Linked DNA regions of Coturnix japonica. The protein of the gene in region 4 purifies or fractionates together with the protein of the main gene of each other region. This does not show direct contact. Links are inferred from orthologs where the notes say so. Each region holds a gene or a part of one and is shown on either strand. Other genes may lie near its edges. The genes, in order: UTP25, MPHOSPH10, UTP3 and IMP3.

Region 1 (8,116 bases), about 80 Mb from region 4:
CTCAAGAGGCAGATCACTAGCGTACAATAATACTATTTTTACCTTCTGAAAGGGCTTGTGAAGAATTGCTCTCTGTCTTGTCTGCATCACCGTCTCCACTCTCCTCTTCCATGAAATTGGTTTCCAAGCTAAATTCAGCTTCATGTTTCACATCGGTAAACTCCTCAGCTGCTCCATGATTCGGGTCACAGGAAGTTTCCGCCCCATTAGCCTGCTCCTGGCCAAGCGCCTGTTCTGGTGGGTCTTTAGCTGCAACTTCTTAGAGAGAGAAATGTGTTATATTCTCCTGGAAAAGCTATTACCAAAAGCCACTTCTGGCTGCCTGTGTCAAACAGTTCTGAGTTTCACTTTGTCCTTCAAAAATCCTACGCAAAAAGATAAGAATAGGCCTTGTATTTTACCTTTTTTGGGTTGGGCTTTTTTTTTTTTTTTTTTTTTTTAAGCTACCTTTGTCTAACATGCCAGAAGTTAAATAATATAAAACATAATTTCTCTGAGAAAACTTAAGGAAAAATGTATTCAGAGAATACAAGTTTTAGCTTCCAAAGAACCTAAACAACTGAGAAAACAAAGAGTTGACTCCGTCATCCTAGAATCTACTTGGGGACTTCATGAATGAGGATGTCTCCTCATATGGGAGGAGGTTTCCTTAAAATCTAAACACTCTTTCCTCTGCTGTAAGGCAAACCTTTCTCTGTGCTCAGTGGCAGCAGCCAAGCCAGATGCTGTGTGAGAGAACAGCTTGTATCTCCCAGCAAGTGGGTGAGAACCCCTGGTATGTTGCTCCATGTGGATTCTCCCTGCGCTGCTGCACAAACATCTGAGGAAGAAGCAGCAGGCTGGCTGCTGGGAAATGAGCACAGCTACCCTTTGCCCTGCTAAATACTCCAGCAGCTGCTACTCATAATCACAAAGTCGCAATGGAGCAACAGTCTCCCAGCCAGAGGAGCACCCAGCCAACCAGCCCATGTACACCAGGATCAGGGGTAAAACCAGACATTATTCAAACTTTCTAACTGAAACAATAATTGCCAAAGCATAGCAAAAGAAACTACCTTCTTCCTGCTCTGGTACATTATCCTGCTCTTCTTCATCTCCAACAGCTTCTTTGGGCTCCTGGGACCCTTCACTGTCCAGCTCTGCCTCACTCTCCTCAGCTTCTTCTGATTCACTTTCATCTTCCTCCTCCTCACTCTCAGACTCAGGAGATGCCTTCAGGGTAGCCAGAAGCTTGTGATAGACAGAGACTTGTTCCACCTCAGTCTCTGAATCGCTTTCCGCACTTGATTTATCAGAATTGTCAGACTAAATGTGAAAACAATTAACAGCAGCAGTCCATTAGACAGCAAGCAAACACCCTCAGCTCCAGCTCCCATACTACATTTCCTTCTTGTCATTCCAGCCCTTTGCAGATGCAATGAGATTTTCCCCTAATGTCCATTCTATGTGAAGAGTTATCTTGAACATTTCCACACAGATTCTGAAAGGACCATGGCAGACCCATGTCCTGGTGTTTTTTCTGCACTGATTTGACTCAGAGCATCACAAGATTAGTTTCTTTCAGCCTTGGAGAACACATTTGTTCTCGTGGACAAACAGGCCTAAGAACAATGTGCCAGGTTACAGCCAACATCACAGCAAAAACAGGACTACAATCACAGCACCATTCCTTCTTAGCTCCTTTCAGCACAAAGCGAAAACTCAGTAAATGCAATATAAATGCAAAAAATAAAAATAAAAAAGTGCTTAACAGATAAGAGTCATTCATTACTTTTTCCACACTACAACTGTGAAGTCTTTAACTGGTCTGATGACAAAGGAGGTTCACAAGTCCTAACTGAAAGAAAACTGAAGCACTGTAATTTGAAGAACAGAAACGAGCATCAACATTTCTTCATTCAGCAGAGAACAAAGCATCTCATTCTCTAACTCAAGCACCACTGTGTATTAATAAAATAACTTACAGCATGTTTCACTTTTTGCCAGGGCTAAGTAGCATTAAAAGACAAACAAGAATAGCAATATTGTATCCCGTTTCTTCTGTTGTCTCTTGTTGTTGCAGTTACGAGTTTGACACTATACAGAACAATTTGGAATCACAAAAAAAATCATTCATTTTTTCCTTCTAAAAGCAGGTTTTCTAAAAGGAACAACAAGAAAGGCACAGCATTCCACTTCGCTGAACCATACAACAAGTAAAGTGAGGAAGAAATAAAAATATATTACCAGTTCACATATTTGAGTTGCTTCTGGTCTTCCAGAAACCCTGAGAAAAAAAAAAAACACAAAAATATCTTGCTGTCAATGATATTTTGCACAGAATAAACACAGATAAGAAAAGGAAGAAATTGTTGAGCCTCAGAGCAGTTGAAAGAGAACTGAGAGGCAGAGCATCACACAGCTCTCCTTAAGGAAAGAGTCAGGGCTCACCCTGACAAAATCCTCTGAGCTGATGCTGCAGCCTGTGTGTGAAGCCCGGGTGCATGCGATCACAGAATCACAGAATGACCCGGGTTGGAAGGGACCTCAGGGTGACTTGCAGAATCAAACTCTATAATCCAGAGATGGGTTATAAAGCAGGTATGTTTATTCCAGTGTTGCACAGCGCTGGGTGCAAGGGGGATAGCTCCTCCAAACTTGCACAGCGACTTGTAAAATAGTGACACAGATATAGGTACATTTAATACATAGTCAATGATTTCTCAGAATTCTAATACATAGTCAATAGTTCTCGGAATTCTGATACATATTCAATAGTTCTTTAGCATGCAGACCCCCTCTTGTTCTTATCAGGGGGAATGCAACTCCTCTTCTGGGCATCCATGAGGTCTCACTGCTTCTCTGCATCCTCTCTGCTCTCCTAGGCCCCTTGTTTCTTTTACTTGTTACCTTTAAGTTTCCTTTACTTATTTCTATGAACTACCTTTAAGTTTCCTTTACTTGTTTCTATAAACTACCTTTAACTATCCCCCTTTTAGCCCCCCTTTATTCCGAATTTTAGCGGAGCATCTGCTTCCTGCTTCACTGTTCAAAGGATCATGTAGTTCCAACCCCCCTGCCTGGCAGGGCCACCAAACATACACCTTTACTAGATCAGGTTGCCCAGGGCCCCGTCCAACCTGGCCTTGAACACCTCCAAGGACGGGGCATCCACAACCTCCCTGGGCAGCCTGTTCCAGGACCTAACCACTCTCCTAGCGAAGAACTTCCCCGTAACATCCAACCTAAATCTTCCCTCTTTTAACTTAAAACCATTTCCCCGGTCATGAAGGGCAACATTTTAAACTCCCTCCTCAATTCCTGGGGGCTGCTCTCTGGAGCACGGGCTCCTACCCGGGGCACTAAGCACTGACACACCGAGAGGGGTCAACAGACACACGTGCTGCGGGCAAAGCTCATCAATCCAGCAGCGCTCACCGGTCGCACACGGGGTGCTGCTCCCCGAACTGCCGCAGGTGCTTCCTCTGCCTCTTGCTCAGGCCCCGCACCAGCTCCCTGCCGCCACGCCGCTTCCCCATGCCGGCAGCGAGGCGCTTTACGGTACGGCCGTCAAGGGCGGCTGTCGTACTGTCGTACTGCCGTGTGGCGGCGTGCTGAGTGCGGCTGCTTGTGTGGGTTAACGTTTTCCTCAGCTCCTACCTAAGCCTGATCCTATTAAGGGCTGATAACTAAAACTCAGCCAACTGAAAAGCCACACTGACCGGCCGTTTAGTCAGAAACCGAAGGCCCAGAATAGAACAGCAAAGACAATAAAAGACAGCCCTTTAACCTTACTGAGCATCCAACTAGGAGGTGTAAGACTTAGCGCCCAGCACAAGCGCATTGTGATACTATATACAGCCGGGATTTGGCAGGTGGCTTATGTAAAACTAAGACATGTCAATTGGAAGGAATTTGAAGAAAATATCATACAGAATTGAAAGAAGCTGCTCCTCTGGGGCATCATTTAACCAGGTCAGCACATACTTTCTTCCTTACTGTTATATAACTGATATGATTTTAAGAAATGCTATTATTACTAAAAGGAGGAGCAGCTGGAAACTGTGGATAGCAAATAGTTTCAAGGGATAACCAGGCAGTATATCTCCTTCTAAGGGATTTGATTAAATACTTTTTTTTTTTGTTTTCTGGGGCATATTGCAGAACACGCTCAGGCAGCTTCCCCTCTGTCATGAATGGTATCAGTTCTACTGTCTTGAAACACCCACTAAAACAGCTTTGGGCCTCTCTACAACTAGAAAACACAGCTGATCTTCAAGCACAAACTTGGCTTCTCATCTTTCAGCTATTTCCCATTAAAACTGTGTACTTCTGTCTGATAATAACACTAAGCTTCTTTTCTTTAGTGAATGTGAGCTTAAGTACTGCCAGCAAGTATGGTCCAGGCTCTTTAGCTGTCTGGTCATAGGCATTATTTATGTGAATTACTTTAACAGTAGTTAAATTACAGTCAAAATAGGTTTCCACAGCTCTGTGCTACTGCCAGCCTAGTAAAGCCAAAGTGCTTAATGCAGTCTGAAGCCACTGACTGTTCTGCATCTAGCAGTGTCTCTTTTGATTCACAGCAAAGTAACCCTCAAGTTAGCTGAACACCCTTTTGCTATCTGTACTGTTTTTCTCCCTCTAAGCATAACCAGTGTTCAGCTAGACTAGCTTTACTGAATAACCAACCCACCACTTTAGAAAGAGTGGTGCCATGAAATAAAGTATTTAGTACACTGTTTGTCCTATGTACAATGATGCTCTCTAGTATCCATTTACTTTGCAATGTGGTCTTACAGCTACTTAATAAAATTAGACTTAAACCTGTAAAAAGCTGATACTTGTACTGGAATCAATGTGTTGTTCTTTTAGCAAACAGTTAATACTGGAAGTGACGCTATTGGAACTGTAAGAGCATAGAAGAGTCTCATCATGCCTCAGTGTTCCTTAAGATTGCATTCTCTGACTTGTTGCGTGTTAATATGCAAGCTGAATATGCAACTGGGATTTACTTATTTCAAAGCAGCGCTATCAAAAGAACATCTAACAGTTTGGCATCCCTTACCTTAAATATTACACTAACGCCAGCAGGATTTTCTAAGTATTTCAGAATTCAGACGCCACTCATTATCAAATGGAGATCTAGGTTATTTAGGAATATGCTTTATCTTTCTAATAACATTACAGATGATCACGATTTTTGATCAGAGTGTGCAGTCAAGCTTCTTCACTTCATACATGTTCCATCAGTCTACAAGTTCTGGAGCTACGATCAAGAATAACTCAGTAAAACAAGAATATACATGATTATTTTATAAAACAGGACATTTATTTATCAGTTTATCAGACTGTCTTAGTAATTGAGGTTGATAGGAGCAACTAGTTCCAGTACCAACACCCAAATACCTGGTGAATTCATGATTTCACTTCTGTTTCTTCTGCTTGAGGTAGTGTATCCCAAACTGGCTCCTGGATGTGTTCAGGTATTTTCTCTATCTTAGTCTAGTACAGAAGGAAGGAAACGATTTATTATATCAACTAGTCAACATCTAACTGCTTTGCTTTATTTTGGTTTCAGATATTTATTGGATTAATAGTGCCACCTAGTGACGTTTTTCAGTAATACATCCTCCTTTTAATAGTAACACAAAATGGTCTTTACAACTACATGTGTATACTGACTTTCTAACAAATTCAGTAATTATTAGTACTTGCATCTGGATTTAATCTCACAGCAGTTAAGAACATGAGATGGGAACTTACCTTTTTTACTTCCATGGCAACCCCTTCAGGTAAGTTTCGTTCAACATACTCTAAGTACACTGCAGCGGTACTGCCCGTGAGGTGTTTTAACTAAAACAGAAGTCATGTGTTTTATTAATGAAGGATAATACTTCAAACAGAATATAGAAAAGGAGGAGTTTGCTCTGACTTCTCTAGTTTTTGCAGTGGGTCCAAGCATCTTACACTAGGCCAGCTCCCATAGAATTCACCACAGGCAGGTAAGCAGTATGTATCTTATGCAAGTACAAAGCAGCAACTTCATGCAGAACTGTATATACTGTGTGTTCATACGTATTGATTATGATAGAAATGATGGACCTTAATACTGCAAGTATCAGATCAAACTGTGTGTTATGCAAGAACTCTCAGATTTGCTATACCCCTCAACATTCAAACTGGATAGCAATCCCCCAACTCCAGAATTTTACCACGTTCTTGATTCTAGTTTCTCTTGGAAAGCAGAAGTTGTATTTATGGTCTGTGGGCAGCCATCGGCACTGCTCTACTGTCTGAGCACTGAGGGCAGAGACACATTTCACTAAGCACAACTATACCATAATAGACCCTAGAGGCCACAAAATGCCAGCAGTAAACTTCTTCTAAGAAAATCAACCACAGCTGCATTCTAGACCATATATATGTCTGCGTCACCAGCCACAGAGCGAGTGGTTTGTACACACTTCCTTTCTGGTATTTCTCCCCTTCCAGTTTTAGTTTGTCACATGATGCTGCACAGGGCAAAAGCATTCAAAATATGAAGCAAACTCATGGAGAAGAGAATGCTCAGTGACTAGCAATGACTGTAACTTACCTGCAGCATCTTCCCTTCCTTGAGAAAGTTCTTATCCCACAGATTAGAAATTGAGAGCATAAAATATATAAAGGTAACTCTGATACCTACCTTATTTTTAAATCATTCTTCCATATACTTGTCAAAATCAGCCTTATAGGCAGAAATTAGATGGACTGTACATTCAGAACAATTTCTGCTACATTTGATGTACCTACATCAGCTCTCTCTTACTATATTCCCAGCACTACCTAAATCAATATTTCTTCCTTTTACATCTTTCTTACCTCCAAACAGGTGTAATGTGTTCTCATTTCATACTGAACTCTGTGCTTCTTGTAAATGTGTACAGATTTTAACAGTGTAAGTCGTTCTATCGTCTTTGGAGGTCTGTGTCTGAACAAAGTAGAAAGAGAAAATGTTGTAATATTGAATTTTACATAAATGATGTTAATATAAATTATCTGAGATTACAGTGAAATCTGCTCTTATCTGACATTTAGAAGATCCACAAGGCAGTATGAAGTACTGGTACAGTTTAGCATTAACACTACAGCAGCACCGATGACTGTAACAAGAATATTCCTGGTGTCTTTCACGCAGTTACAATGCAATCCTACTATGGCAGCACTGCAAGTAGCACTGCTTCTGCTTTCTCATCCCCACACCACCATCTGGGAAGTGTCAGATTTATATTTTGAGAAAGAATGTCAGATTAAACTCATTTCTTCTACAAAAGGAAAATACTTGTAAGCGCGGAACTAGAGTTACAGCAGATGATGTAAGAAGCATCACATCGTGCTACAGATTGGTTACTTACACTTTTTCAACAGTTATGCCAAGTTCTTTAGCTGCCAGCACTGCAAAATACTCATAGCTGTCCAACACAGCTTTATCGTGGCCTTTAACTAAAAGGGACAGCCTCCGGTAGAGTATTTCTGGTTCATCTGAAATAGACACCTGTATTTTTTAAGAAAAGGCAAGTGTTACCACCCCATGTTCTCCTTTATTAACCCAGTCACTACGTATCTTCTTAGCCCATGTGCCCCATTTGTAAAAGAGGAAAAAAAATACACATGCACATCTCTCACTGCTCATTTGATATTTACCTGCAAGAGGATAACTGTATTAATCTCAATCAACAGTCCTTCATCTTACTGTCCCTGCTAAGTGTAAAGGGAAACCTGACTTCTGAATATTCAGGCAAAATTTCTCAATCAAGAATGCAAAGGGAACGCCAACTAAAAGGGCAACACTTGCAAAGGCAAGAAAAATAACTTCTTTTTAAAGCAAGTCTGGAGCAGCAATATGAGCATTTTAAATAGAAGTGTGAAAATACATGAAATTCTCAAGTTTTTCTTGGTTATCATTATGGTCAGGTACAAGAATTCTCACCTTCCTAAAGTAAAGCTATGTAAACACACCAGTCTTCTCCACACATATTATCCTTCCTATTTGCCCAGGTTAGAAGTCTATGAATCTCAAGTTACAATTTTATGACTGTTAGTTTGACCATTCATTTCTAATGGCCTGGGCCCACTGTTCATCTGAAAAACCCTG
Region 2 (8,110 bases), on a different chromosome or scaffold from region 4:
TGGGGAAGCAACCCGAAGGGGGCTATAGGCTACTTCTGACACTGTGCTGTCTTTCTTTATATAACACTTGAGTCATTTCTTTTTCTCTTTTTTTTTTTTTTTCTGGCTGACTGGTAGTTGTGTGTAGGAGGAGTTGTAGGGAGATCTGAATTCTGATCAACAAAACTGCAGCAAACGAGTAGGAATTAACAGATGTCTGTTACTCTGAGTCAAGGCATTTTTCATACAATAGTGTTATGAATGTTTATTCATGGAGTTATGTCCAGACACCTCAGCTGGGAAAAAAACAATGCAATTATTTTTAATTCATTATAGATTATTGACTATTGTATTTGCTAAACTGAGTGCTAATTGTATTACACTGGAGGATGAATGCATTTAAGGTTTGGGGACATTCAAACAATTTGATATCGTGACATCAAACCTAAGATCACATTATGTAGTTTAGACAGGTTTTTGTTAATTACATTTTACTGCAGGAAACTTCTGAAATGTAATGGTAAATGCTGTTGTTCTGATTAATTTTGATTTAAAAAAAAGAAAAAGGAACAGGTCATAGACTGGGGATATTTTCTGATGAACTTCTGTAAACAGTATTTTTCTTTTATAAGGTTGATGACATAAAAGCAGCCATGGCAGAACTGAAGAAAAAAAAGATTCGAATATTGAGCGAAGAGCCAAAAATAGGTGCACATGGCAAACCTGTGATTTTTCTTCACCCTAAAGATTGCCACGGAGTCCTTGTGGAACTTGAGCAAGCCTGAGCTGCAATATTCATAAATTAGACAATAAATGAGTTGTGAAGTTACTGAGCTGGTGCTGAGAATATTGATGTGCTATTCACTCTTTACAAATTCACTGTAGTTCCTGTGGATTAAGTACGGCTTTTGAGCAATGAGACAGTGCTGCAGATTTCTTTTTCCCGCATTTGATTTTCAGAATCAATGTGTTGACATTTCTTGAATTCACTATGATTCTCAAGATGTACACCTAAGCCAAGCTGCATTTATAACAGTAATTTTGTTCTGTTGCCTCATGTTCTTGCTGCATGGCTTTACTTCTGTAACCACAGAAACTGTACGGTTTCTAGGTCATTCCACATTATTTTGTTCTACATTTTAAAGCAGAGACCCAATTCTCAGTGACAACAGTAAAAGCTTAGATACCCCCTTTAGAAATAAAGGGAAAGGGAACATTGTACTTTCTGTTTTCGCCATTCACTGTCTGTGCTTCATGCTGATTGACTGATTCGTGCAATAAATAAATCTATATTTTATTGTATGGCTATCTGAAATCATTAAATACATTTTCCTTGGCATAACAGTTAATGAGTGAGGAAGTTACAAGCGTAAATCATCATGTTGTTATACGGACTCTGCATATGCAGACAACGGGAAGAAAGTGTCTGAAAAATGACATGATAGAGATATATTTCAGACTTTAAGATGCATCCTGCATTTTTGTTTGTGTCAGCCAGAGAATACTTGTTTTCAGATTTTATCCCTAGGAAGATCTCTGAGAGACACCTGAACAAATAGTGGGAAATCACTTGCTTTACAAATACTGTTTTCTAATGCAGAAGTGCTTACAGAATCACTGGAAAGCATAAGAAACATGAATCTTGGTTGTGTACAGTCTCCTCACATCAGAGAGCATGCCAGTGTACTTAGTTTCTCATAGACTGCAGTCACAGTTTGTTGACTTATTCATGGCCAGGCCTCATGTTATTTGTGTGTGTTAAGCAAGCAGTGTTTGTCCTGATACTTTTCTAAGTTCATTTTGATATCAACTGTAAAAGCTGAATACTTTCTGTTTCTCTCATTATTTTTCCCAGTCCTTAGAAATAATATTTTTACCAGCTAAACCACAACCTGCATTTTTTATTTTCCTGCACATACTGTGAATTGTTCCACCTTGATCTAAAATAAGTTCATTTTATTCTAGGATAGAAAAACCTCTGGTTTTATCATGTTCAGTCTGCAATTAATCCACCTGGATTTAAGAAAAAATAGTGCATCAGTTTGGATTTGTGATCATTATTACCATCTTTACCCAGTTTATCGTAAGTTTTGGAATAACTTCTGTTTTGAAGCCACAGTTGCAGCATTTAAAACGGTTGTGAGACTGACCATTTGGAAAGCTGTGAATGAATGACAAGAGAAACTTCTTCTCACCACTTCCTGAATGGGATATCTTTCTTAATGCACATGCCAAAGTATTGCTGCATGTTGCTAAGGACAGTCCTTGGATTTGGACTGTCTTGCTGTGGCAGATTAATGGAAATTGATGTGACCAAGAAGGTCTTACCGGAAAACAGCAGAATGTGGGAATGGTGAGATACTAACAGGAAGGGCTCAGCTGATTCTCTCCTTATTAGAAATTCTTCCACTAGTGATACGGACTTGGGTTTGTTGGGCTCCAGAACCTATAGTTAAGAGAAAAAGGTAAGAGTTAATTGTTTTATCACTGTATTTGTGAAATTATTAGACTGTGAAGCAGAAGAAAATTCCTAGCACTTCTCATACTGGTACTGGGCTGCACTAGAAGTAGTCAGTAAACTGATAGTTTAAATCACAGAATGTTGAATCGTGTAAGATTAATATGGAAATGGAAACTAACAACTTACAAGGGATTTACTTATGAACTTACAAAGGAATTGGCCAACACTTTAAAATGGAAGATCTCACCTTCTTGGAAACACAAATTCTATCACCTTTGATAAATGTTTTTAAAGCAGTTTGAATGTTTTATGAAATGCAAATTTACTTTATTGTGAAGGAGGAATGTTTGCCTCATAAAACTGTATAGTCCTTTAGTATTTATAACGTTATGCTATCTCTGGTGTTTCATGTTCATTTGCACTGTCTCTCACGTTATTAAAAGCACAGTTAATTGCTCAATGTACAGCATAGATTCACAAGTTAGGAAGAGTTCTTCCAAACGTTTAAAGTAGATATATTTTGAAGTATTTTGTGACATTTCTAGATGTAATTTGAAGTGATCTTTAACTGTTAACGCTTTGTTACCATAAAAATAGTACACAGGTACTAAAATCTTCCATAAGATGTTAAATGAACCTTTTAATTCACTTTTACATTGCATTTTTTCCAGTAATAAAGATAAGTTTAAGTCATGATTTAAAGGAAACAAAAAGTTCTAAAGTAACAAGTAACTGTGAGAGACCAGACATTTTGCATTAAATGAGAAGGAAAACCTCACTTCTGCATCAGTGGCTGGTACCACAGACAAAAAGAAAAGAAGATAAATGTAGCAGCTTAATAACAAATAGCTGTTGTGTGAATCCTAATAGAAATTGAACCTAAACAAACAAAAAATCCATGAGCTGGGTTTCCATGAAAGGCCTTTGCATATAGATGGAATTTGAGTTGGTGCTAAGCAACTGGTACAGCTACCGCAGGGCAAACAAAGCGTACCAAGCTGGACGGGATGCAGAGTGAACATCGAGACTGACCAGAACGCAATACAATGACATTAAGGCGGCTTTTCACTTTTGCTGTCATTACAAAGATTGCCTTTTAGAGTCAATAACTACAAGTCTGAGATCTGCATATTGATGAGCAAGTCCTGTCATAACTGGCCTAGCAGCACTCCATCTCACATGTTCTCCTTAATTTACCCAGTAACTGCAATCACCTCCCTGTGGGAAGATCTCGTTGTTTCTGGTAAAACGACCGAGAAGCCAACTGGGTTTGTCACTGACCATAAGAAATGTCATTCTTGGAAAACTACAGGATCACAGAATGGCCTGGGTTGAAAAGGCCCACAGTGCTCATCCAGCTCCAACCCTTGCTATGTGCAGGGTCACCAACCAGCAGCCCAGGCTGCCCAGAGCCACATCCAGCCTGGCCTCGAATCCTGCAGGGATGGGGATCCACAGCCTCTTTGGGCAACCTGTTCCAGTGCATCACCTCCCTCTGTGTGAAAAACTTCCTCTAATATCTAACCTAAACCTCCCGTCTCACTTTCAAACCGTTCCCCTCGCCCTATCCCTATCCCTATCCTTATCCTTATCCTTATCCTTATCCTTATCCTTATCCTTATCCTTATCCTTATCCTTATCCTTATCCCTATCCCTATCCCTATCCCTATCCCTATCCCTATCCCTACCCCTACTCCTACCCCTATCCCCCCTGTAGCCATACCCCGTCCTTCAGGCCGCTCTGCGGGGTGCTGAGTCGGGCTCGAATCGCGGGTCTCGATCGAGTGGTGCTCGCGGCGGGTTCCTCCCCGTCTCCCTTTGGCGCCGCGGCGGTGGCGCTATGTGCCATGCATGTTCCCGGGCGGCCGGCTGTATTCTCGCACGCAGCTTCCCGGGCCCACCAGCCGTGTCGGTGTGTGGCGCCGAGGCTGCACACAAAAGAGCGGTTGCTGCCCCCGTGTCGGTCGCCGCGGCGCGGGGTGGGGACCGGCATCGCGGCTGTCAGCCAGGGTAAGAAGCGGGGCCGCAGGGCACGGACCCCGCGGGCGGCGACACGGCGGGGCCGGGGCTCCTTGGCGGGTGGGGCGGCAGCATCCCCGCGGCTCCTCGGGGGAGCGGGAGCCCCGCGGCGCCTCACGGAGCTGAGCGGGCGAACCTCGGCCCGAGCGGGCGCCGCGCACCTCGAGAGCGGCAGCGGGGCCGCCCCCGGCCCGTCCCCCGCCGCCGGTAACCGCTGTGCCCGAGGGGGGACCCTCCGGCTTTGGGGGCAGCCCTGCGGCATGGCGGCGCGGGGCTCGGCCGTGCGGGGCTGCGCGGGGCCGCTCTCCTCCCGCCGCCCCTCGGCCGCCCGGAGCCCGCGGGGATGGTCGGGGCGCTGCACCGGGCGGCCGCTGTGCCGCTGTGCTCCCCGCGGGACGGCCGCCCCCAGCGCTGTGCCCGGCCCGCCCGGCTCCGCTCGGCTCCGTGCGCTGATGCGGGCGCTCGGTGCAGACGGGCGGCGCGGCTACACGCACAGTGTCAGGGTTTTGTTGCAGGGCTGGAGGCTCGAGGGTCCGTTAATGGTCAGACGAAACGCAGGAGAAGCCCTCATGCAATGCAGCACCGCTAGGAGTTTGTTTCTGATTTCATGCCTCCCATGCAGCAAACGGATCAAACATTGTCATTAGCTTTTTTTTTTTTTATCCTTTTTTTCTTTTTTTTCCCCCGCTCCCTTCGTCATCAGATCTGGAGGGGAAAAAGCTGCTCCATGAGGGGCTCCCAATTTTTCCTGGGATAAACAGCAGCAGGCATTACATGGTGATCTGCCTTCCCCTTTTGGAGCAGTTTTTGAATCCAATTCTTGTATTGCCGTAACAAAAGGGATGGGGGTGGGGGAGAGGAGGGGAATGCTGCGTTTCTGGCTGCATCTCGAGAGGTGAGGGCTGGCTCCTTGCCTCGGCAGCCTGCGCTTACAGGGCTCTGTACTTAGCATCCTCAGTGTCATCCTGGCGGCTGCTGCATGGCACTGAGGGCGTATAAGGAGTGTAAATAAAGGCGACAGAAATCTGGTTGCAATTCAAAGATGATATGCATTACGTTGAGGGTTAAGAAAAGTCAGAAATGACTGTGGCTCATTTGGGTAAGAAATGGAAATGTCTCAGTTGTATTACCTTGTCAAGGCCACTGTATAATCTCCATGGAGGGGGGCTGGGAAATCTGTTTGCAGAGAAGGTATTCTATCTATTCTGCCTATTGCCCAGTGCTCCCTCATTTTAGCAGCAGAAATGAACAACAGAAGCAACTGCTATCACAGTTCTGTGTGGCTGTGTGTAAGCAATAGTATTTCTACATAAGATAATCTTAAAGAGAATTTTTTGTGTAATTGTTTATCAGCACTTAAAAGTAAAAACACAGTACGTGCTGGTTATCTGTATATTGAAAAGCATATGATTGAAGCTTTTCTTACAGCATGAGATGGAAATTGATCACTATATAATCCAGATTCTTCTCTGTGTGGGACAGTCAAGGTGGATGGACCTTTTATTTCTGTATGTTGTGCTATGGGTACTGAACCACAGAAGGGGAAGCTGCTGTACTTTTTCCTTTATAGGCTTATAACGTTTTACGCTGCAGAGCTGTCCTTGTAAACCTTGACTGTCAGGCTTCCAAAGCCTAAATTCTGTGATAGTTTCGGTCTTATCTGCACTTGGAAATAGCTAAGGCTATTTTTAAAGATGCAGCGTTGCCCCTAATCATCAGCTGTGTTATTGCTTCGCCCTGATCCTCTAATCATAAAGAAAAAGAGTTCCTGCAAACGTCGTGGTGGCTCAGCTTTTTTGGTCAGTCTTATGATTCTAAGGGGGGGGTGGGCATCTTGAAGAGTGATCTTTTGTGGAGTTACTTGGTTGATGCCAGCTTAAGTTGGAGGCTGGAGATAAATTTTAACAAGAGCTAGGTCCATAAGAAGTGACCTTTGATTAACGCTGTAAACATGAAGAACTACTTCAAGTGTAATTGTACCATCTCCAGCTGTTCTGACAAGAATGCTTGCTAATTTCCCAAAATACCATTGCTTAAGCCTCTTCCATGTTATGTTCCTGTGCTGAAGGTGAAGAAATCCAGCAAGAAGGGATCTGTTCCTGGTTCCCACATCACAGAGAAAAATAAAGATCTTCTTGTTCAGAACTAAATGTTGGTTGAAACCTTGAACCCATCCTCACTTGAGGAAGCCTAGAGTTAATGACCTTCTGTATCCATTTCTTATTGAATCCATGCTTGAATAAAATAGCCCATGCTTTTAGCCACTGCAACAATAGAGGCTGGAGAGTAGCACTGCTGAGAGGGTTCTGGGGCTGTGGTGGACATGAACCTGCACATGAACCAGATGTGTGCCTTAGCAGCAAAGATGGCCAGCAGCATCTTGGTCTGTGTGGAACACAGCCAGTAGACTAAGGGAAGTAATTATCCCCTTCTACTCTACATTAATTATACTGTATCTGTAAAATCGTGCTTAGTTTTTGGCACACTTAGTACAGGGAAGATGTTTATGAACTGGAGTGTGTTAAGCAGAGGCCACCCAAGTGGTTTGGGCTGGAGGCCAGGCCCTATGAAAGGAGAATTTGGGAGTGGGGATTGCTCAGCTTCGAGAAAGGAAGAGTTGGAGGACAATCTTCCAGTACTTACAAGGATGTTATCAAGAAAGCAGAGCAAACCTCCTCACAGTGGTGTGTGGCAGAGAATGAGACACAACAGGCATGTGCTGAAACAAGAGATGTTCAAGCCGGATATTTAGGGAATTTTTTCAGCTACGAGGGCAGTGATGCATGGGAGCAGGTTGCCCAGAGAGGCTGTGTGGTCTTTATCGATGGGGATTTTTAAGACCAGACTGGATAATACCCTGAACAACCAGATCTGGGCCTTCTGAAGACCACGGTTTGAACAGAATGTTGGACAAGACACCTCCAGTGTTCTTTCCAACCTGAATTTTCATATCGTCCTGCAAATAGTTGTATGTTTGTGCCTATCTTTAACTGATACAAGAATTAGATGTTACACGACACAGAACTTTTTTTAGGACGAACTAGACTTACCCATGTATCTCAGCTAAGACAGAATGTAGTATCAGTATGATACGCTGGCCAACTATCATTACCTTTGCTGATAAACGAATACGTTACTATATGCCTCATGCGGAGGAGATATTTACTTGATAAATTCATATTTTAATGTTGGTGTAGATAAAAGGAAGAATGCACTCTCTAAGTATTTGGGTTTTTTTTGCCACTCCTGTCAGGCAGTTAAAGCCTTGGAACCTTAATGCAAGAGACACAGCAGTAGTTCTTAGAGCTGGAGAAAATAAAGCACCAGTGCTGCTGTATGGATTTCACAAGTTAAGAGGAAGACTTGCAAGTAGAGCCCAAATCCATGAATTTTTAGATGCTTCACGACACATGCAATTGCTGATTACGGTGTTCATTGTAAGTACTTTGGATATTTGAAAATGCTTTTTATCTACTGGGGAGAGCAACCAAACATTAGGATTATGCATTGATGGATTTGTTGTTTTTTTTCCTGATGACCTATTTACCTTTGAAGACTGTGTGAAAAGCAACACCAGAAAGCACCATGCATGTCTTGAAACATTCAGTGCTTTAGGATTGTCCTGCCTGCAGAAGCTAAACACACAACATG
Region 3 (7,494 bases), on a different chromosome or scaffold from region 4:
TTTGGTCGTTGCAGGGATAGTTTGACATGTTGGGCTTCAGGATCAGAATCCTGTTTCCACCAGATGCTGTGCAACATATTTTAAGAGCCTGACCTGCGCCCAAGGCTTTCAGTCAAAGCAGATAAGATGAGAGGTGGGAGGGGTAAAAGAAGTCAAGCAACAGCATGGCAAGGGCAAAGCTGGGCTCTTCCTCCCATGCTCTGCCTACTGCTTCAAAGACAGAAGGCTCTGCATAAGGTCCCAGGCAACTGTCCCACAGAGAAAGGGGACATTTTCAATTCCCTGACATATGTTAAGCAGACTGGGGCTGTATCTATAGCGTATGCATATACATTGTGTGGAAAAGACTGCTTTGTTAGGGAAGCTCAGCCTTTAATAGCACCTTTTACAAGGGACCTTCAGGCATGTCCAACGGAATAAAATCTCCTTGCTTGTTATTTTCTTTTAGGCAGAAGGGTGGCAGAATGAGGTATGACACTAACAAGCCTGTTCTTAGCTGGGCTTATAACATTAGTGGTTTCCGTGACTTTCTGCTTGCTGCAAGGTTAGTTTATTCATGATTAATAGTAGCACATAGCAAATCCTGTGCTGCTCCAGCTTCTTATGCAGCAGCCACAGTGATACAAAGGCTTTTCACACTGCATGTGCCACTCTTGGCTCCCCAGGGCTCTCAAGAAGCTCACGTCATTAGATAACATTGCTTCAGACCTTGCTAGCCAGCTTCCTAAGCACAGAACTGTTCATAAAGCCCGACATCTGCATTCTGAGCTTTTTCCCTTGGCACAAGCATCTAGCAAGGTGGATGCATGATGCAAAGAGCTTTTGTGTTACATCAGCAGTACTGAAACTCAAGGCTTCCCTGGGGAGGGATGGGTGATTATGATGGGTGCAAGGAGGGCATTGCCTATGCTGTAATTAATATAAACCCTCCTCTTTTAGCAGGGCTCCATCTGCATGGCAGGAGAACTTGCTTTTACTTCATCTCCCTCACCCCAGAAAGTAATTCAAATAGAGCACTGTGGAGTTTCTTTATGAAGCAGGAAGATGTCCATCTTGTGCAAAAGGTTACAGGTAAACCTGGCTAACCAGGGTGAGGAGAGGCAGGGGGGAAATGTCTATCTCAAACACTGTTTTGGTCACTTTTTTTTTATTTATCTATTTATTAATCCAAGGAGAGATTTTTTGAACAAGAAGGGAGAATGGCGACAGTAGAATAAAGCACATTCAAAAGAGGCCTTTTCTGGTCTATTTTGCTTATCTGCACTGATAGAAATATGGCACTGATAAAATTTGAGCAGATGTATCCATAAGTATTTTAAAACTTGAATGGAGAGACCATGCAGAGTGATATTCTGTGTGATTCTGATTATTTCAGTGTTTCTCCCTGACTGCGGCTGTTCAGTGTATCTGAATTTCAGTTGCTAAATCTGCATGTCTACGTGCATGGTCCCATCAGTCTTTATTTGGTGGCATGAGAACTGTTTTTAGTCACACTCAGCCACCTGCATCTCGCTGAAGATTTCTGTCTAGCTTGTAAATTCTTTAGAAGACACATTAAATGACCCCAAAATGATCTGGGCAAGTAGGCATTAAAGAACTGTGCTAGCTGAGGAAAGGCCTGGCACACCATTACTCCAGGCTTGAATCCTGGGCTGCATGGGGAGCTAGACTCCTGCTCTGCATAGGAAGTTTCATGAATGTTACGTCTCATTTGCCAAAACCAAGTTATTGTCTCTACGCAGCCCTGTTAACCAGAGGAGGTGACACCTGACAATTGGCTCTGACAGATCTGAAATAATGTGTATTTGTCTGTGGCAAAATATATCTTTGGTTTGTAAGGAAGTATGGAAAATGTTGACTGAGATGTGACTATGTTGAAGAAGAGACTGAGGCTGCTCTGCAGTCAGATCTGCCAGAATCCAAATGAAGCACCAACAAATGAGTGATGTGCACACCTCCCCCTGCCCCTGCCCCCCCTTCTCTGTTTCAGTTAACCTTAATGCTTGCCTGACGTTACTTTTTCCACGAGAAGGTGGATGTGGGTATGTATAAATAACCCAGCACCTGTTGTGTGGCTAGAGAAAAGCACCTGTGCTTGTTTTGCACAGAACTTCTCTTCCTAGGATTGTGTGGCTGCCAAATTTACCGGACTCGGGGGTTTCTCAGACCATGCTGAGCTCTTTACTGTGCCTTCCTCTGCTCTTACAGCATCTGGCTGTCTGCATTTCTTTCAGTCTACTTGCATGTGGCTCAGCCTTCATGTGATTTCCCAGTGGCAAGATGGGAGGCTAGGCTGTGTGCTGTGTATCTGAGAACAGGAACAAGCAGCCATACAGGATGTGAACGTAAACATCAGGGAATATAGACAGCCTTAAAGACCTTTCTGATGAGGCCTGGACATGTTTGTCTATGGCATAAAAGGGTTGATCTAAAGGAGCACAAATGAAGCAATAGCCTGAAGCAGCACTGATCCCCAGCAATGGCTCCTGCCAGAAGATGCCCCTGCTCCAGGAGGGCAGCAGTGTAGAGAAGGAGGTGGAGTCAATACACATCCCCCAGATGGGTCCAGGGGGTTTTTTCACTTCTCCTCTCTGAAACTTCGATCTGGCTACAGGGAACTGAGTAAGCAGCGGTTTTGGTGAGCAAGCACACAGATGGCAGGTGGCTATTCTGCTTTTTTTGTCAATGTCACAATGTGAATATATGCAGTCAGTGCATTGGGATGTGGCTGTACTTTTAGAAGGGCTCTTTCCACATAGCGTGACTCATTGCTGGTGCATGCCAGGGTTGAGATAATCCCAGTGTGGTGGCTGCCACATCCCCCAGCACCAGCTGTGTTACTCCCCATGCGTTACCATGCCTGCCGTCAGTTCATACCCAAAACATGCTTGGCTGAAAAGAACCACATCTGGACTCGCAGCTGCACTCAGGTCTTCCAACCACAAAACCCCTTGTCCGGGAGCCTGCCCCTCCCAGTGCCTCCAGATGGGCAGCGCTGAGCACGGCCACCATCCCCACGGAACGCCGGGCGGCCGGAACCAGCGGGACTGCGCCTGGAGTTGGGGGGAAGAGTTAGACAACCGGACAGGAAGCGGGGTGAGCGGATGGAGCGCAACAGCGGCGCCGGAAGCGGGGTCTGTGTGCAGCCGCTTCCGCTTCCCGGCACAGCCATGAGGACGCGGCGCGGTACCGTGCTGAGGCCTAAGGAGGGACCCGCCGACCGACACGATGATGGAGAGGGATATGAAGAGGAAGTGCCCGGGCGAGACGTGGGACCCGAAGGCCTGGGGGACGAGGTGGAGGATTTTCACGAGGCGCGGTTTCGGGAGGTGATGGCGGCTCTGGAGAGCGGGGAGGAGGCCGGGGACAGCGAGGAGGAGGAGGAGGAAGAAGAAGTACTGGGACTGCAGCTGCCCGAGGAGGAGGAAGATGACGAGGAAGAGGAGGAGGAAGATGAAGGTGAAGGTGGTGAGGAAGCAGGGGGACTTGAGTCTTATGAGGACCGCAGTGCAGAGGAAGATGGGGGAGATGAGGAGGAGGAGGATGAAGATGAAGATGAAGATGAGGATGAGGAGGAGGACCTGTCCATGGAGAGTGATTTGGAAGAGCGTGGTAAGGACACTGATCTCCCCCATGAGCTGTCCTGGGGCCGACGCAAACAGCTGTACTATGACACAGACTATGGGAACGATGCCCAGGCTAAGGGCAAACGGAGCCAGCAAGATGTTGATGCTGAGGAGGAGGAGGAGGAGCAGGAGGCAAAAGTGATCCAGAAGAGGCTGGTGGAGGACTTGGGGGAAGATGATTATGGGCTGGATGTGATCCAAGGCTACGTGGCGGAGCAACAGAAAACCCATGATAGCAAGGGGCAGAAGATTGCTAAGGATTTGCAGACCCTTTCCAAGAAGGAGCAGCTGAAGCTGTTGAAGCAGGAGTCTCCTGAGCTCCTGCACCTGATTGAAGACTTTGAAGTCAAACTGATGGAGCTCAAGGATGAGCTGCACCCACTGCTGCAAATGGTCAAAAATGGCACCATCCCACAGGGGAAAGGCAGTCGCTATTTGCAGACCAAGTATCAGCTATACTTGAATTACTGTGCCAATATCAGTTTCTATTTAGTTCTGAAGTCAAAAAGGATACCGGTTCATAGTCACCCCATCATTGAACGATTGGTTGCTTACAGAAATATCATCAATGACCTAGCAGTGATAGATCAAAAGTTATCCTCACAGGTTCGCCTGCTTCTGAAAAACTATTACGATAAGAAGGAGGAAAAGCTCCGAGAGCGGAAGAAGTTTCCAGTGCTTCTCCAACCAGATGCTAGGAAAACCAAACGAAAAGGTGAATCTGCTTTTGCTAATGGCCAACTTGCTGCTGAGGAACCGGCAGATGAATCTGACCTGGATGGAGAGGCTGCGCTAAAATACTATAAGATGATGGAAGAGAAGCTGAAACTCAAGAGGAAGAGAACAGAAGAACAGGAAACATTTGAAGAACCAGTGACAGAAGAGGATCCAAACCAAAAGAGAGGTGTGACTTACCAGATGATCAAGAACAAAGGCCTCACCCCGAGGAGGAAGAAGATTGATCGCAACCCCAGGGTCAAGCATCGGGAGAAGTTTAGGAGAGCCAAGATTCGCCGGAAGGGCCAGGTCCGGGAAGTTCGGAGGGAGATACACAGATATGGTGGGGAGCTCTCTGGCATTCGCGCTGGTGTTAAGAAGAGCAGAAAGCTTCAATGAAACTTATTTTTCTCTGTTTCAGAGAGCTGCAAATAAAAGTTCTGAATGCAATAAATTGTTCTGTAAAAGATACTGTGTTGGTTTTGTTTGTTTGTTTGTTTTATCCTTAAGTGGGAGTTCTCCTTTGAGAGTTTTTTGTGTTCTTGTTTGTTTCTTTTTTTAGGAGGGTGCTTTTCAGAAGGTGCCATCTCTCAAAGTAGTACAGGGCCCCTCCCTCACTTTGCTTGTTAATTTGTTTTCCTCTACTGTTATGTCCTATGTTATGAATATGGCTTTGAGAGGCTGCAAGGCTTGTGTCAAGCGAGGGGATGGATGTGGACCAGACAGGGCTTGAGGGCAGCAGGAGAGAGATGGAAAGTCCTTTGGAGGGTGGGGTGAGAAAGGAATTCACTGTTCACTGCCACTACATCCTTACTGTGTTCTCCTGGCCCGTAGGGCTGAGGTATAGTTAAATGGTTATGGTATTTCCTCTTGATTTATGCTATGATTAACTTGTTTTCATACAGTTAAGAATTAACTATTACACTCTCCTAAATATTCTTTCCTTAGTAACTAAGCAGAGGCTATTGCCTTAAATTGCATATGACCTGTGAAACCACTTCCCCTTCTTGATAATTCAGTGAGAAGCAAAATGAGGACTCTGCTGGACTGCATAATTAATTATTCATCTACCATAACTACATTAGCTTAATCTGTGATAAATGTGCTAACTGTTGTTTGCTGTTACAGATCTAACACAGCATTGATAGAGGAGAAACAGGTAAGATGTCATGTTATTTTCACCTTATAGTTAGTATGATGTTACCAGAGAAACCAAAATACGAGTGTGTGAAGCCATGACAGGCTAGGTGTTCTATTTAAAGTATGCAAACAATGCTCAATTTCTGCATACAAAATGCACTTCTATAGGGCTTAATGCAAACCATTCTATCTTGGGCCTTTTCCTGCCCAGGATCGTGGATTTCTTGCTGACTGCAGAATGTTTTGTTATTTTTTTATAGCTGTTTGTTAGAGGTGAAAAAACATCAGACACCAGATGTGTGGAAATGGAGGTAAGGAGACCTTCTGTAGTCTTTATGTCCCAAATCTGTGTGGTAAGAGCTATGCATGGCAGTCTCAGAGGGGATTTCAGTCGGCAAATCTATGTAGCTCAAGACTGAAAGGACAAGTTCTGCAGGCCTCACTGGTCCTGTGTTTGTTTGCCCCCTGCTGCTCAAAGGCCAAACAGCAGTTCAATACTGCGTAATGGCCAAAAACAGAATTGCTCAATTCAGGCTCTTACTGCAGCTCATTGTGAATTGATTCCCCTCCCCATGAAGTAGCCCTGGAGGTCTTTGCCTGCCTGCAGAGTTGTGGTGTTTCGTACCACAGGAGGTAATGGGAACTAATGAGTGTGGATGGTAGTGGAGAAGTAAACCTTGGTATTTCTGGTCAGTGCTGAGACTTGTCTGTGCTGTTAGCAGGTCTGTGTGTAGGGAGGGGAAGGGTTGAAGGTATGTACAGGAGAAAGGATTCATTTCTCATGTCCTGAAGCCACAGCAGTGAGTGTTTTAAGGCTGAAATTGCCATCTGAAGCCCTGCAACTGACTTCTCCACAGAAGCTCAGCCCCTCAGGTTGGGGCACTTGCTGAATCTTTGTTCAAGGAGTGTCACCAATGCAAACATGAGGCTTTCTTGAAGAGGTCATACAAAATGCCTTTCTTGCTTGTGTGATGCTCTTGCTGCCCTTATAGCACCGAACTACATCATTCTATTGACTGCACTGGGCCGACAATGGAGGCCACCACTGGCAATGCTGAGGCTTTGGGATGAGGTCAGTGAAAGGTAATGTGGTAGGGAAAAAGCAGCTTTGTTGGTAATAGATGTTACAGGGGATGTGAGAAATACCCTGCAGAGATGCTAACCGATCTCATTACTGCAGCATCTGCTCGTGCACATTTCACACTCTGTATGAAAAAGAGAGGCTGATGCACTTCCATAAATTGGCAGATAAGCTGTGAGTATCCTCCATGGCTTTGGATTCCCTTGAAAAGCTTTAGGCAGCTGGGGAGCAAAATTCTGGCACCTTCCATGTGAGCAGTAAATAAGGGATATACACTGTGATATTCTTACAGGCTCACTGTTCCAGGAACGCTGGGGTTAAGGCTGAAGGCGAGAGCAGGCAGTGTGTGTCAGCTGCCCACTGCAGGCAGCCGGCAGATGGCACAGCGTGTCTCCCAGGACTGCTGCACCAACCCGCTTAAATGAAGATTAAACGTGGCATTTTGTTCAGTTGGTTGGCTCAGAGATCGGGCATAGCCATAAATACTCCTTTCCAGTAGGGCTGTGTGTATGAGTAATCACGACTGTGATTATTACCATGGGAGGGAGAACACCACAGTGTTGCTCTGATAAATGCTTCTTAGAGGTACGTTTTGTGATGTGAAATCCCTGATGGTGGGTAGGTTTTCAAGACCCCTGTAAAAACAGATGCATGTGAAACACGGGAAGGACCGTAGGCAATAGTCAGGAAAAGAAAGTGGAGCGGGTTGGTGGTTAAAATACCATCTTTTTGTTCTCTCATTCAGAGTGAGCCTTTGGAAGTTGGAACTGAACAACTACATAGCAGCAGAGAGATGGACAGCGCTTTCTGCATCGCAGCGCGGATGTTGTGTTCACACAGGGTAAGGAAAACGTGTTTAACGACTCAAAAGGCAATACATTTGCTGCTGCCTTCACTTTTATAGCTGTCTAACGTTGCGTGCCATCAGCA
Region 4 (6,971 bases):
AGCTCTTATGTAGATCCTGCACACACACAGCAATCTGTCCCTATAGCACAGGCCAAAAACCTGCAACCCCTGCAGTGCCTCCCTGCTCACAGAAGAGGTGCAGGGATGTGCAGAGGTTACATTACACAACCACCAGGAGGGCTGACTTGTGCCTCTTCCTCATGCTCACTTTGGTAAGCAGACACCATTGCATCACTTTGCCACATCTCAATAGCTGTGAAGCTGCCTTTATGCTGGATATACCCAGAACAGGAAGCAGCCTAGAAGCCCTTCCCATTTTCAGTGCATACACACTGTTGAAAAACATATTAAAGCTGTTGCAAATACAGGCTTTCGGTGCTCAGTATGAGAAGTGGTTTGGGGTTCTGGGATTTTGGTACAAGAGAAACTTCAGGACAAACCAAAGAGCAGCAGAATCTTTGAGAACTGAGTGCAGCCAGGCAGCAATGTGTCTGTGCATCAGAGTTACAAGTAAATCTCAATCTCCTGACCTCCTGATTAGTGAAATACACAGGCAACAGCTCCTGCAGCTGATGTACGAGCTCCAACGTGATATATTTAGCTTCATTTAGGAGGATGTTGTTAAGCACACAGGAAAGCAGGCTTGTACCGCTGCCCATTTGGCCCAGTGAGATAAACAGTTCTCTGGTTGAGTCTACAATGCGTGGAAGAAAACACTCCCACCTTTTAAAGGTCGGCTCAGTGCTTGGAAGAGCTTATCGCTATGGCTGCATGGCATCCAGCAGGGATGCTGCTTATCATCAGGAAGTTGCATTGTTTACATTGCTATAAACCACGTTAAGTGTGTTGAAGGTGACAAAGCAAACAACCCCCTTAAAGCAGACATGATTCATCTCGCTATCCAGCAATAAACAAGAGCTGTACCTGCTGGTGCCGCAGACAGCGCTCCTCCTCCCCTGCCCTGAGCTTCCTGTAGTAGATCCACTCCTTCTCCACACCTGACGCAGCCTCCTCCTCTGGCTCAGAATCACCCTTCTTCTTACAGAAATACGTTGCTGAAGCCGATTCATCTCTGAAATAGCAGCACAAGGTTATTTTGACGTTGTATTCCATTTGGCTTGGGAAAAAGTCCAACAAAGCCTTAGTTTTGACCTGTCTCAAGAGATCAGAGCTCCCAGCCCCACTGAGTGCAGACAAGACCTTGCAAACAACAGAGTAACCCCACCAAAAATCCCATCACCGTTATGTCCTGTGGGTCCTAACAGCAAAAAAGAGCATGATAAAGAGTGACAAACGATAACCACCCATAACAATTCCACTTAAAGCCTCCAAATTAATGTCCCTTTGTACAGCCAGGTGGGAACAGAGCTGGATGAGCGGGAAGCTGAAGCTGAGATGTTAGTTGCTCTTATAAAAGCGAGTTCTCCTACACAACAAGAAGCATTCTGTTATGAGAAAGTTCCTTCCCAGCACAGCTCAGTAACATGCAGTACACACACCTGTGCTCCACAGCTGCCACTAGAAAGCCTTGAGAAGCCATCTCTATGCAGATAGCGGAGTAGATGGTCCTGCAATCCAAAGACACTCTGGTGACCACAGGTACACAATGTTTGGTTACACGGCTCCTTAAACACTCACTGTGCCCCACTCTATTGTGCCTGTTTCAGCCAGCAGGGCAGGCTGTGTATCCCAGTCCCCAAAGGGTGATTTTTGGTGCTTTTTTGCTTTTAGTTGCAGCTCATCTTCACAACATCCTTATGGCTCAGTAAATACCTACACCTCTAATATACAATCACAGAATGGCCTGGGTTGGATCCTGGATCCTCAAGGATCATGAAGCTCCAACCCCCCACCACAGGCAGGGCCACCAACCTCCCCATTTAATACCAGCCCAGGCTGCCCAGGGCCCCATCCAACCTGGCCCTGAACACCTCCAGGGATGGACGGGGCATCCATAGACTCCCTGGGCAGCTGCTCCAGCACCTCACTGCTCTTTGACTTCAGAACTTAACAGGGAAACAAACTAAGAAGCCAACCCTGCCTCATTTACAGGCCTTGATTTCAATGGAAGCATAGTGATATACAGCACCCCATTCTTTGCATCATGTTCAGCCCCACAGGGATCTCGCCCCACCCTGAGACCCACTCAGCACCATTCCTGGATGCTGACATTACTGTGGACAACAAAGAGAGTTTGCCCACGAGCTGCAGTTACCTGAAAGCTCCCAGTCCATGGGAGAAAACGAGCAGTGGGTATTTTTCTCCTGGCTTAAAAGCAGCGTTAGATTTTGCAGGACAGGTCACTGAACCTACATGAAAACAGAAGCACGTGTCATTATTACTGAGATGAGAGACCTACAGACCCGCTCTGTAGGAGATAGCTCAGTAACCCGAAGGCTGCAGGTTTCAGAGTGGCCATCTGAGCATCAGTCTGATTCTGCACACACCTGGGGGACCAAACCCGCTCTTACCAACATAGTATTGGAAAAGCCTTTCCCCCACAGCCCGGTACATGTTGAGGAAGTCACACAGCCCCTGGTAGTACTCTTTGTCCGGAATCCACGGCGTCTCTTCAATCTCTGTGTCGTCACATGATGGATAATACAGGCGCAAAAAGCTGCCCTGGAATTAGCAAAAAAACAAAGGGAAGATTGTAATTTATTGATGTATGGCAATGAAAGGTCAGACTTACACCTGCTCCACCTGTACCTTCATCACAGCATGGTTGGGTTGGAAGGGACCTCAAGGATCACGAAGCTCCAACCCCCCACCACAGGCAGGGCCACCAACCTCCACATTGATACCAGCCCAGGCTGCCCAGGGCCCCATCCAACCTGGCCTTGAACAGCTCCAGGGATGGACGGGGCATCCACAGCCTCTGGGCAGCTGTTCCAGCACCTCACCACTCTCAGAGCAAAGAACTTCCTAAACTTACACCAACGTGTGACACAAGGGCAGTGAAGGAAGCAGCAAAGCTTCAGCCAGACGGGTAATTATATTAACTCAACCCCAGGGTAGTCGCAGTGAATTTCCCCTGATGAGCAACTGCTGAACAACACAGGGAAAGGTCCATTGCCATCACTAGGAATTGTAACTGTGCTCAATGCTCTAAGGGAAGGCTGACTGCAGAGAGAAACCAGCCCCGTTGTGGTGCTGTAAGAGAAGCCAGGTGGAGCAGAGCAAAACCCACGGCTTATCTCTGTGACTGGGTGATACCTCACGGGCCTGGAGAGCAAAACTGCAGTGCAAGATGAAAAAGCAAGAGGATATGAAACAGAAACTCGTAGTTAAGCCCAGCAGATGGTACTGCCGTTCCTGCCTTATCGTGGTGTCTCCCTGCACTACCGACACCCTGTTCTCTGGGCAGACACCATCTCACCTCTCACACTCCGTCCTGCAGCTGAAGCAGCTTATCCTCACCACCAGCCCCCAGCCCCCAGCGGGACCGTCCCGAGCACAGCGGGCAGAGGGAGCCGGGATGGGGCCAACAGCTGGACGGCCCGTGGGACACACGGCTGGGGGCTGCTGGACCCTGAGCTGTGCCCCGCCGGGATGGGATGGGGTGGGATGGGATGGGGTGAGACGGGACGGGACGGGACGGGACGGGATGTGATGCAGGCTCAGCTGGGGTCGCGTACATCAGCCCTGCACACAATCACGCCGTCCATCGGGCTCATCCCGGTGCCGTACCTCGGCCGCGTTGCCGGTCATCAGGTCCGTGCAGCCCACGTTGTGCGGGCCCTTCCCGGCGGGGATCCGGTAGCCCCTGTCCGCGCCGCCGCTGCCCATCTCCGGGGCTGCCTTCGCCGACAGACCTGGGGACAGAACGCCGTGTAAACACCCCGGCTCGGCCCGGCCCGGCTCCGCCCGTCGCTCGCTCCGTGGGGGCGGTGCCGGCCGTGCCCCGTCGCTCCTCCCCGGAAGGCGCCGCGTGGATCCGGGCGGCAGCTCAACATGGTGCGGAAGCTCAAGTACCACGAGCAGAAGCTGCTGCGGCGGCTGGAGCTGGTGAGCTGGGAGGCGGCTCCGGGACACGTGGCGGAGCTGCGGGCGCTGCGGCGGTTCCGCGTGGGGCGGCGCGAGGACTATACGCGGTACCGGGCGCTGGCCCGGGACATTCGGGCCCTGGCGCGGCGTCTGCGGGACCTGGGCCCGGCCAGCGCCGCGTTCCGCTCCCGCAGCTCCGCGCTGCTGCTGCACAAGCTGTACGCCATGGGGATCGTGGGCTCGCGCCGCTCCCTGGCCGTGTGCGAGCGCGTGTGCGCCGCCTCGTTCTGCCGGCGCCGCCTGCCCTGCGTGCTGCTGAAGCTGCGCATGGCGCAGAACATGCGACACGCCGTCACCTTCGTGGAGCAGGGACACGTCCGCGTCGGGCCGGACCTGGTCACCGACCCCGCCGTGCTCGTGCCCCGCGCCATGGAGGACTTCGTCACTTGGGCCGACGCCTCCAAACTGCGCGTCAAGGTGCTGGACTACAACCAGGAGCGGGACGACTTCGACCTGGAGGCGTAGGGACGGCACAGCCGGGCTGAGATACACGGGGAGAACACAGAGCTGCCAGCCCGGCCTGCACACAGCACACACAGCACTGAAATGAACTGAGCTGCTCTGCCCACAACACACACACACTGCATGAGACCTCACTGCGATGCTGCCAGACTAAGCACACCGAGGTGCCGGGCTCACCCACCAGCTGCAGCTGCTCCCTTGCTAAGGATGGCACTGAAGGAGCTTTGCATGAGGCCAAGCAGCCACTGCAGGGCTGTACCATGTGCCCAGTGCTGCTGCCACCCCAGGAAGGCAGGAAGGCTTCTCCAGCCCAGAGCAACGTGCCAGCAGGGAGGGCTGTGCAGTCAGCGAGGGACCCAGTGGTGCATAATGGGACTGTGGGTGTCTGGGCCTCACACAGACAACAGACAGAAGCGGACTTGGCGTTCCTGTGACAGCTCAGAGCGGGGCAGGGCAGGCTGCAGCTCCATGCTGGGGGTGTTAGTCCTCAGCCCAAAAAGGCAGAAATAAAATGTCCCATTTTGAAGAACTCCCCGTGGTGTCTCTTATTGCCTTTCCCTGACGCTTCCCGGGGCTGTTGGTGTGAGCAGCACTTATCTCACTGAACTGTTCTGTGCCACAGCACCGTGAGCACCATGCTCAGGTTGTGTTTGGTCACAGTTCCAGCTTGGAGAAGGGAAGGCTGCAGGGAGACCTCAGTGTGGGCATCCAGTACTTGAAGGGAGCGAATAAACAGGAGGGGAATGGCTGTTTGTGAGGGTGGGCAGTGATAGGACAAGGGGGAATGGTTTGAAACGGAGACAGGGGAGGTTCAGGTTGGATCTGAGGAGGAAGTTTTTCCCCCAGAGGGTGGTGACGCACTGGAACAGGTTGCCCAAGGAGGCTGTGGATGCCCCATCCCTGCAGGCATTCAAGGCCAGGCTGGATGTGGCTCTGGGCAGCCTGGGCTGCTGGTTGGTGACCCTGCACACAGCAGGGGGTTGGAGCTGGGTGAGCACTGTGGGCCTTTGTGATGCAGGCCGTGCTGTGATAACATGAATAGATGCAGAAAAGACGTTCCTTACCTGAAGAACGACTCTTCATGAACAGCTTCCGAGCTCTCACCCACAGCGATGCCATCACTTCTCAGGAAGGGCAGAAGGTCCCACAGGGTGCAGGCAGCTCCCCCTGCTCTGCTCAGGGTTGCTGTAGCACAGGGCTGCTCCCCACGAGGCAGGATGGAAACCTGTGGCTGCACACCACCTCCTTCCGCCCTGAAAGAAACCATCACACCCTTCACTTGTGCACCAGTGAGTCTCTTTTTAAAGGCTTTTTTTCCCCGACTCTGTTCTGTGCTCTGTTTGGAGGCAGCTGAGGGGAGGAGCTGGCCTGGGGACAGCGGGGGGGCTGGAGGGGGGTCCTTCACACTGAGGCCTTTGTGTTGGACCACAAGGCTGAGGCTGTCACTGGAATACAAATGTGCTGCGCTCAGCTGCTGTTCCAGTCAACACAAACTCTGCACGTGGGGGCAGCCTCCAAAGCCCGGTGTTTCAGCGCAGCTTGGCAGGGAGATGATCCAGCCTGGGCTGGTATCAATGTGGAGCTCAGTGGCCCTGCATGCAGTGGGGAGATTGGAGTTTTGTGACCCTTGAGGTCCCTTCCAACCCAGCCATTGTGTGATGCTGTGATACTCTACCCCAGTTTCTGCTCAGAAGAGCAGGAGGTGTAAAGTCCATCAGGCCCTGGTGGCAGATCCTTCAGCAGAGTCCAGAGCTCAGCACATGCCCAGCTATAGCTCATGGGGCTGAGCACTGCCCAGGTAACACGTCCTGAGGGGGCTGTCGCTGCCCATCAGCTCTAAAGGAGCCGGGACGGGGGCTGGGATCTCGCGGGTGGGACGGAGCCGTGCAGGGCGAGCAGGGACAGCCCGAGCCGCGCGTCAGCGCCCCGTCCCGTCCTGCGTCCTGCCGGGACACCCGGAGCCATGTCCGATGACGGCGCACTTTCCCTTTCCTCCCACCCGGCGGAGCCGACCAGCGCTGCCGCGTCCCCCCCCCCCAAGCTGCAAACCCCCTCCCACCCCCCCTCATCTTATCGGGTGTGCTAATAACGCTGTGAGCTCGGTACGGCTCTGAGCTCCTCCCCGCCCCTCGCAGCACCGCCGCCCCTCGGCTCTCGTTGCCCACGGGCAGCGCTGCCCGTACCTGCTGTGCTGTCCCGGCCCTCCGCAGGGAGCCGTGAGCCGGACGGACGGACGGACGGAATGAACACCGGGCCCTGCCGGAGGGGAGGGACCAAACCCCGCCTCACTTCCCAGCTGGGACGGTGTTTGTGGGAGAGGCTTTTCCCCGAGCTTGGAAAGGAAACGTGCCCCGTGGGAGCTGCGTCTCGTGGGGCGAAATCCGGCTTTACGAGCAGCCGGGAAGGGGCCAGCAGCCCGTTAGGGGTGAGCCCCGCAATTCAGTGCCGGCTGTGGGCGCTGGGAGCTGCTCGGGGCCCCACGGATGGCGCAGATGTGCCCA

What was found.
Region 1: the proteins of IMP3 (region 4) and UTP25 purify together in Homo sapiens (affinity purification with mass spectrometry; 3 studies listed by BioGRID and IntAct, with this or other methods). This does not show direct contact. The link is inferred for Coturnix japonica from reciprocal best matches to the Homo sapiens genes IMP3 and UTP25.
Region 2: the proteins of IMP3 (region 4) and MPHOSPH10 purify together in Homo sapiens (affinity purification with mass spectrometry; 4 studies listed by BioGRID and IntAct, with this or other methods). This does not show direct contact. The link is inferred for Coturnix japonica from reciprocal best matches to the Homo sapiens genes IMP3 and MPHOSPH10.
Region 3: the proteins of IMP3 (region 4) and UTP3 purify together in Homo sapiens (affinity purification with mass spectrometry; 3 studies listed by BioGRID and IntAct, with this or other methods). This does not show direct contact. The link is inferred for Coturnix japonica from reciprocal best matches to the Homo sapiens genes IMP3 and UTP3.

The regions. Positions count from the first base shown.
Region 1 is NC_029518.1:20,191,035-20,199,150, forward strand, and holds the start of UTP25 (digestive organ expansion factor homolog), read right to left. Parts: upstream 5,165-8,116; 5' UTR 3,519-5,164; coding exon 3,418-3,518; intron 2,267-3,417; coding exon 2,227-2,266; intron 1,306-2,226; coding exon 1,056-1,305; intron 259-1,055; coding exon 43-258; intron 1-42. Other genes in the region: MRPS10 (28S ribosomal protein S10, mitochondrial), read right to left, coding at 5,398-5,484, 5,746-5,835, 6,844-6,952, 7,377-7,516. UniProt on the Homo sapiens protein: Component of the ribosomal small subunit processome for the biogenesis of ribosomes, functions in pre-ribosomal RNA (pre-rRNA) processing. Essential for embryonic development in part through the regulation of p53 pathway.
Region 2 is NC_029525.1:4,860,606-4,868,715, forward strand, and holds the start of MPHOSPH10 (U3 small nucleolar ribonucleoprotein protein MPP10), read right to left. Parts: upstream 4,450-8,110; 5' UTR 4,434-4,449; coding exon 4,164-4,433; intron 2,426-4,163; coding exon 2,346-2,425; intron 1,282-2,345; exon of another isoform or gene 765-1,281; coding exon of another isoform or gene 612-764; intron 1-611. Other genes in the region: MCEE (methylmalonyl-CoA epimerase, mitochondrial), read left to right, coding at 612-764. UniProt on the Homo sapiens protein: Component of the 60-80S U3 small nucleolar ribonucleoprotein (U3 snoRNP). Required for the early cleavages during pre-18S ribosomal RNA processing. Part of the small subunit (SSU) processome, first precursor of the small eukaryotic ribosomal subunit.
Region 3 is NC_029519.1:44,616,278-44,623,771, forward strand, and holds UTP3 (something about silencing protein 10), read left to right. Parts: upstream 1-3,070; 5' UTR 3,071-3,104; coding exon 3,105-4,742; 3' UTR 4,743-4,814; downstream 4,815-7,494. UniProt on the Homo sapiens protein: Essential for gene silencing: has a role in the structure of silenced chromatin. Plays a role in the developing brain. Part of the small subunit (SSU) processome, first precursor of the small eukaryotic ribosomal subunit.
Region 4 is NC_029518.1:100,138,374-100,145,344, forward strand, and holds IMP3 (U3 small nucleolar ribonucleoprotein protein IMP3), read left to right. Parts: upstream 1-3,867; 5' UTR 3,868-3,915; coding exon 3,916-4,473; 3' UTR 4,474-5,000; downstream 5,001-6,971. Other genes in the region: PLA2G7 (platelet-activating factor acetylhydrolase), read right to left, coding at 886-1,033, 1,461-1,529, 2,177-2,270, 2,433-2,583, 3,652-3,776, 5,535-5,589. UniProt on the Homo sapiens protein: Component of the 60-80S U3 small nucleolar ribonucleoprotein (U3 snoRNP). Required for the early cleavages during pre-18S ribosomal RNA processing. Part of the small subunit (SSU) processome, first precursor of the small eukaryotic ribosomal subunit.